2 linked regions of the Canis lupus familiaris genome follow. The protein of the gene in region 2 interacts with the protein of the main gene of each other region in a pairwise test. Links are inferred from orthologs where the notes say so. Each region holds a gene or a part of one and is shown on either strand. Other genes may lie near its edges.

The links. The genes of interacting proteins can lie anywhere in the genome.
Region 1: the proteins of GRB2 (region 2) and SOS2 interact in binary tests that used the Homo sapiens proteins (3 or more experiments, as listed by UniProt). The link is inferred for Canis lupus familiaris from reciprocal best matches to the Homo sapiens genes GRB2 and SOS2.

The regions. Positions count from the first base shown.
Region 1 is NC_049229.1:26,892,530-26,896,179, reverse strand, and holds part of SOS2 (son of sevenless homolog 2), read left to right. Parts: intron 1-1,245; coding exon 1,246-1,373; intron 1,374-1,839; coding exon 1,840-2,495; intron 2,496-2,887; coding exon 2,888-2,969; intron 2,970-3,650.
Region 2 is NC_049230.1:5,987,153-5,991,506, forward strand, and holds the start of GRB2 (growth factor receptor-bound protein 2), read left to right. Parts: upstream 1-1,437; 5' UTR 1,438-1,589; intron 1,590-4,354. UniProt on the Homo sapiens protein: Non-enzymatic adapter protein that plays a pivotal role in precisely regulated signaling cascades from cell surface receptors to cellular responses, including signaling transduction and gene expression.

The DNA.
Region 1 (3,650 bases), on a different chromosome or scaffold from region 2:
GGCAATGGAGCGGGGGATCGCTCGGTGGCTCAGTAGTTTAGCGCTTGCCTTCTGCCCAGGGCATAATCCTGGAGTCCTGGGATCGAGTCCCGCCTGCATCAGGCTTCCTGCATGGAGTCTGCTTCTCCCTATGCATATGTCTCTGCCTCTCTCTCTCTCTCTCTCTCTCTCCCCTCCTCCTCCCCTCCCCCCGTCTCTCATGAATAAATAAAATCTTTTATAAAAAAAAGGTAATGGAGCTAGAACTCAAACAGTATTTATTCAATTACTTGCTGAGGAAAGGGAATCATTGCTGAATGGTTTTCAGACTGTTCTTGGAATATAAGAAAATTTTATCACAAAATTTCTAGTAAGGTAGTTTAAAATCATGAAATTTAAGTTTTTAACAATTTTCAGAAGGTAAAAAATTTTCAGAAATAAGTGGTTGTAGGTTTTCCATATTCTTGCATGAATGTATTTATATTGTATCTATGTAATCTGTATGTAATATCTCTGTGATGCTCCACTGTTAACTTCTAACAAATTGAAACATTGGAGCATCATCCAATCTAAATTACTTATTATAAGGTAAATTTTCTTTCACGTTGAGAGTAAGATACAAGAGAAACCTTTGGATAAATCCAGTAAAACCAGAGTTGTTAGAATTAATAATGTAATTTATAAGCCTTATTTCTAAGAGCTGATGAGAGAACATTAACTTTCATGGTTTCTTGTTATTTACTACAATGGTTGAATTTTATGTTGTAAAAAATATCAGCTGAATTTCACAGATGCTATTTGCAGAAAAGTTTATAATGGATTGGGTGCTAAAGTTAGCATACTTGGTTATATTGTATAACAGATATGGAGGCTTTTAGGCATTTCTGAAACTTAAGAACTTAATCATTAGAGAATATGAAATAATTTCTGTGTTTATCTTATAGTTACTAACAAAAGCAACTTGTAAGCTTCATGTTTTGCTATTTTAAACTATTTCTATATATCTGGAAAATGTCCAAATGGTTTTCACAGTTGCTTTTTTTCTTTATTATTCTGGCAGTAGTGATCTATATTTGTATTATATTTACGTATGTAGAAAGAGAGTTGGTTTTGAAAGATCAGATATACATAATTAAATAAAATTATTGCTGGTTTTATTAAGTATATTTAAATTTTGAGTTTATAATAGTTGTTGCTGTTTCCTCTAACTACAAAAAAGGAAAAGAATTGAACAATACAGGTTTAATTTTTGTTTGTTTTTCTTAGCAATTGAAAGCATGTAGTGAAGAGCAGGAAGACAGAGAATGTTTGAACCAAGCTATTACAGCTCTTATGAATCTCCAGGGTAGCATGGACCGAATTTATAAGCAGTATTCACCTAGACGCCGACCTGGGTAATTCCAAACTGTTGAAAATATGAATGTTTCTGCATACTTCATTTATTATTGTAGTTATACTTGCATTCTTCAGAGTTATACTTTTGTTTTACATTTTTCTTTTGGTCTCTTAGTTGCAGAAAATTGGCACTGTCTTATTGTTAAGATATATTTAATAAAATTTTAAAAGATATAACTAATAGTTTTGTACATGTTATATAAGAAATTTAGGATTCTTTGTAATTTTAGTTAGTATGGCATTTGGAATGAAATGCAGAGTTTCTCTAGTACTTCTCTTTCACAATAATGAAATTGACACATGTATCAGTTGTGGCAAAGTTAGTAGAAGATAGTAAATGCTATGTGCAAAATCTAGTGTTTGGTTATTTAATATTTTCTCACTTGATTTGAGGTGGTTTACACTTAAAGAAATTTGGGTTGCTCAGTCATTGAAAAAGCTAAATTTATCTTTTTTTTTTTTTAGGGATCCTGTTTGCCCTTTTTATAATCGTCAATTAAGAAGCAAGCATCTAGCTATTAAAAAAATGAATGAAATTCAGAAAAACATAGATGGGTGGGAAGGCAAAGATATTGGACAGTGTTGTAATGAATTCATTATGGAAGGTCCATTGACACGAATTGGTGCTAAACATGAACGACATATTTTTCTCTTTGATGGCTTAATGATTAGCTGTAAGCCCAATCATAGCCAGTCACGCCTTCCAGGTTACAGTAATGCAGAATACAGATTAAAAGAAAAATTTATCATGAGGAAGACACAGATATGTGATAAAGAAGATACTTGTGAGTGCAAACACGCTTTTGAGTTGATATCCAAAGATGAAAACAGCATAATATTTGCTGCTAAATCGGCTGAAGAGAAAAATAATTGGATGGCCGCACTTATTTCTCTTCACTATCGTAGTACACTAGATCGAATGCTAGATTCAGTGTTATTGAAAGAAGAAAATGAGCAACCATTGAGATTACCAAGTCCTGAAGTATATCGTTTTGTGGTAAAAGACTCTGAGGAAAACATTGTTTTTGAAGACAACTTGCAAAGTAGAAGTGGAATTCCCATTATTAAAGGAGGAACTGTGGTGAAATTAATTGAAAGATTAACATATCATATGTATGCAGGTATGTGAAACTCATTCCAAGTGCTTACTTACCTAGGGCTGAGAATCTAAAAACCTTCTCAGGGTTATTCAAAAATGCTTGAGGCACAGAAAAAATGGATTGCCTCTGAAATACAAAAAGAATTCTGTAGAATCAAAAGGAATAAATAAGTAATTAAATGTCACTATAATATTGTTGACTTCATTAATTAGTAAATATTCATTAAAAATTGTATGAATCTTGAATCAGAAAACAATCCGCTTTAATCAAGTAATACAATGATTGACGGGAACGCTCTGGTGGGAGGAACCAGAATAAAGAGAAAAAGGAAGGAAGGCCTCCAAAATATGCTACTTTGAATTAAAGAAACTGAATAAATTGAACATACAACTTGTTTTATACTCTCTTTTCAGATCCCAATTTTGTTCGTACTTTTCTTACTACATACCGTTCATTTTGTAAACCACAGGAATTGCTAAGCTTACTGATTGAACGGTAAGAAAAATATTTACTTTACTTACATTAACGTTTCATAAAAAGTTAACTATTTTGTTCCTTGCAAAGTGGTGGGTACTAGTATGTACTCAACTAGTTTTTGAACATAATTTACTTGGCATTAAATTAATAGTATTACTGTTCTCTTCAATAAAACTATTTCCTTAAAAGAGACTTTTTTACTTGTCACTTTTAAACAGACTTTTTATTAAGGAAACTTTCAAAACATAGAAGAGTATAGTAAACCATCATCCAACTTCAGTAATTATCAATCCATGTTTCAGCTGTTTCCCCACTGTCTTCAACACCCTAACCCTGGGACTATTTTGAAGTAAATCCTAGACAACATATTTCATCTGTAAATATTTTCATTTGTATTTCCAAAAGATAAGTATTCTTATTAAAAACACAATCACAATCTCATTATTATACCTAAAAAAATTAACAGTTCCTTTTATTATGATTAGTTTTTAAAAATTAAGTTTTGAATTTTTCTTTTTTAGATAGCATCTGGGCTCCAAAGTAATTTTTGGTTCACATTTAAAAACTTAATACCAGAATTTTATCTTGACCTGTATCATTATGTTGTATTATGAATTAAAGTTCACCAGACTGAATTACTGTAATGTGCTATGAAGATCTACTTAGTTGTATTTCCATGTCCAAAATAAGGGAAGCATA
Region 2 (4,354 bases):
GTGAAAGAACAACTCATTTTCCTAATTTCAATGGCTTATTTTCTCTATAGAATCAGATGTTCGGTTATTCTCATCTCAGCACTATTTTGTTGGCTTCCAGGGAGCACACTACCATTAGATACGTTCTGTTCTCTTTAATTGGAAAGAGCTTTTGGAACTGAAAAATAGGAGTTACTTCTTCAAGCCTCATCTGCTGCTCCCCCGTTCTCACCCGCCTCACACAGGAATCGAACAACTTAGCATCGCACAGAACACGACTCTCTCTCACGCCTCCGTTCCTTTGTACAGGCATGCGGTTCCCTTCGCCCGAAGCGCCTTTCCCCGACAGCTCCGTCTAGTGAACTCCTACTCGTCCTCCAAGACTCAGCTCAGACATCATCATCACCTTCTCTGGGAGGCTATTCTGAGATGGGCAGAGTAGCAGTTCTCCCTCCCATCTTTTTAGCTTCCTCAGCATTCTCCCAAATAATTCTAACATTGCATATGGCATTTTTTTGTTTTCTTCCGCTCCTCTAATTTTTTAAAAGATTTTACTTATTCAAGATTTTATTTATTCAATTCATTTTTAAGATTTTATTTATTCAAGATTTGATTTATTCAATTCATTTTTTAAGATTTTATTTATTCATTTATTCATTTATTATTCATAAGATTTCATTTATTCATTATTATTCACACACAGAGGCAGAAACATAGGCAGAGAGAGAAGCAGGCTCCATGCAGGGAGCCCAATGTGGGATTCGGTTCAGGGACTCAAGGATGACGACCTGAGCCAAAGAAAGATGCTCAACCGCTGAGCCAGCCAAGCCTCCCTCTCCGGCTCCTGTAGACCGCGATTTCCTCGATTTCCTCGAGGGCCGAGATACCTGTTCATCATTGTACCTCTTTACCCAACACCTGTATACCTATACCTATGCCTAGGATTAGCACACATCAGGCACTTGATTAGACCCATGAGCGAAGAATATGTTCATTCGTCTAACAGTGCGGTTTGGACCGAATTCTCAAGCATTTCAAAAGCTGGTCCTCTATTTGGAGCGCTTCAGGATAGAGGGAGATTCCGACATCCCCCGGCAAAATCCTCGGTTTGATGGCAGGAAAAGGGAAGTGATTAGGCTGTGATGAAGAGTTGCTCCTTCAGGGCTCAGCTGTCATCTACCCTCCTTGGCACAGAGAGGGTTACAGCGACCCAGAGGCGGGGCCACGTGGGTGCCACCTGCTCCGGGGCGGTCTGGCGCAGGCGCCCTGGCGTCTAGACGGCGGCTACCTGCGGGGCCCCGGCCGAGGAGGAGCGCGTGCGCTCTGGGCCTTTTCCGCCGGGGGAAGTCTCGCGGGGGCGGGGCGAGGCGGGACGGGGCGGGGCCGCGCGGGGAAGTTCTCGCGGGACCCCGACGAGGAGCGGAAGCCAGGCGGCTGTGTTGCTGCTGCTAGCGAGCGAGCGGGCGGCGGCGGCGGCGGCTGCGACGAAGACTGAAGCGGCGACGGCGGCGGGAGCAGGCGCTGCCCTCGGGGAGCAGCAGCGCGGTCCGCGGCCGCTCGCACCGCTGCAGACGGGTCGGCCGGGCGCGGAGCGGAGCTGCTGCGCCACGGTGAGTACGGGCGGCGGCGGCGGCGGCGGCGGCGGCGGCGCTGCTGCTGCTCCGGTGCTGCTGCTCCCCTGCTCGGCAGCGGGAGGTGGCCCGCGAGGACCGGGCCCGGTCTACCGAGGGCTGCCAGGGTTGGGGATCAGGGTCGGGGCGACGAGGCCTGGCGCGGAGAACGGAGTCCCCCGGGCTCCGTATTTCCCTTTTTGGGGCGCTTCCTTCCTGGGGACCGTCCTTCCCTTAGCTTAGCTCGGGGCAGGAGGCCGGGTGCGCCTCTTTAAGTTTCACGCTTTCTCGGGGGACGGCTTGCGCAGAGGGGCCCGGGAGAACCCCGGGAGCCCTGGGTACTCATTCTGTGAGTCAGTCTGACTCGGCCCGGCCCGGGAGGCGGGGGATTCGCCGCGGCTGCAAGTGTGGTGATTGATGCTCTTGCGACCTGCACGGCCACCACGTCACCATCTCCCGGTGTCTTTGGGCCAGAATTTGGGGAGGGAGCCCACCGACCCTATGAATACCGTGATTTAGAACTTTTGCTGCCGGAGCCAGCTGAGATGTCTAGTTTTTTTGTTTTTGTTTTTTTGAAACTACACTGAAAAATACTTGTAAAGAACAATAAGCAGCAGTTGGTTGGAAATGCTCCGAGGAAAGGTTTCTGTGCAAGAGGATAAGGAAGGCACTGGTATTTTTCATTTGCATCGCTCTCCATATACGCCCCGTGAGTTAACAGCTCGTTTAGGGAGTTCTTCCAAAAGGTACGATTTGCAGAGGAGCCGAAGTGCACTCGACCTGTGTCTTTTGGTACTGTTGACTCAGAAAAGAGCCCAAAAGACACATGAAAGAAGATAGCATATCTCTTTGGCTTTCCTGTCTCTCTCTCTCACTTTATACTTCTCCAGTAGTTGCCTTCCCTTTCTACCTACTTGTCTCCATTTTCACTGGGGACACTAAGTGTTTGCTTGTGTAATGCAAGTCATTTGCTCATCCCTCCCCCCCTTCTTCTAATCTACTTCCCCTTCCTCCTTTTTGTCCCCTCTTTGGCATAATTTTTCAAGGTTTCTGCCCTTTGGTGCAGTTTGTCTTCTCCCTCATTTAAAGATTCCGTTTTCTCTCCGGGGAAGATACCCTTTTTCCTGCTTTATCCTTCACTTTGAAGCGTCCACTGTGTTCCTTCAGTCAGCCAGAAGAGTTGCCAGAGAGCCTTGGGAGACTTTAAGTTCTCCCCCTGGGAACTGGGAGGCTCAAAGGATTGAATTCATCCGTAAGTAATCAATACTGCCACTAGGTCACAAGTGTAGCTTGCTTGTGTTATTTGTGTTTTAGTTGTTCTCTTCATTTTAACATTGTGCTTTTGTGCCTGCTTACACTTTTCTTCCTATGTCTCTTTTATACTAGTAAGGAAGATTGGGTCAATTTGGGGTTTGTAGGACTTCTTTTTCGGCTTTTAGTGGGAGTGGTGTGTGTTAGAAAATGAAAACCAACCTTAGACCTATGTTACAGTAGAATTAAGATAACATTAAATATTTAAGGGAATAGAATTTCTTTAGATCACTGATGAATTAAAACTTGCCCATTGGGCAGCCCCGGTGGCGCAGCGGTTTAGCGCTGCCTGCAGCCCAGGGCGTGATCCTGGTAGACCTGGGATCGAGTTCCACATCGGGCTCCCTGCATGGAGCCTGCTTCTCCTCTGCCTGTGTCTCTGCCTCTCTCTCTCTCTCTCTCTCGCTCTGTGTCTCTCATGAATAAATAAAATAAAATATTTAAAAAAAAAAACAACTTGCCCATTGTGGCAATTGGATTCTTTACCAGGGTTCTTCTAATGGGGCATCGTTGTTACTGTTCTTGGGGTTTTTTCGATATAAATAACTGTTTCATTACTCCTTCCTTTGTCCAAAATTTTCTGAATTCCCAAAATAAAAACCGAAGTTAATTCTTGTAATTGGCTTTCTTTGATACTAAAAGCAAGCATTTAAGTGCTTGAGGCAGTTTACTCCCTTAGCAAGTGTATTCAGATTTGAGGGATTGCTGGGTTTTAAATACTACTAGTTGATGGTACTTAGCAGTTTTTTTGAGAAATTGCTGTTATGTTGCCTGTTGTGCAGCAGCAGTTCTGATTGTTGCCTAGAACAAAATAATAATAGATTTTGGAGAAATTAATACAGAATAGAGATGTACCATGCTCTCCTGAGAGAAATTAATAGTTCCTTGCTTAGTTCAAAAGACTTTCCTAGCACTACTGAAAGGCTATTGAGAGCCCTTGGTTTTATTTGTTAAAGTTGGCTTTTTCCTAGTTGAGCCAAGTGAATGTGCATTACTTTTATTTTATGCAAAGACATTGTAGTGCATTATCTGGAATGCAAAGTTTGAAATCTGGTTAAGGCATTCTACTAGTACAGCAGTGATTCTTAAAATTTAGCATGCTTAAGAATTACCTGTGAATCTGGGATGCCTGGGTGGCTCAGGAGGTTGAGCATCTGCCTTTGGCTCAGGGCGTGATCCCGGGGTTCTGGGATCGAGTCCCACATCAGGCTCCCTGCTACGAGCCTGCTTCTCTCTCTGCCTGTGTCTCTGCCTCTTTCTCTCTCATGAATAAATAAATAAAATCTTAAAAAAAAAAAAAAAAGAATTACCTGTGAATCTTATTTTAAATTAGGCTCTGGGGCTAAGGCCACTACATTGCAAAACTCCAGAAGGCATCCCACAGTGAATCAGTGTCTGAATGAGACTATTTTGATGCAGCTGGTCCAAGGACCAAAACTGTTGTTACAGAATGC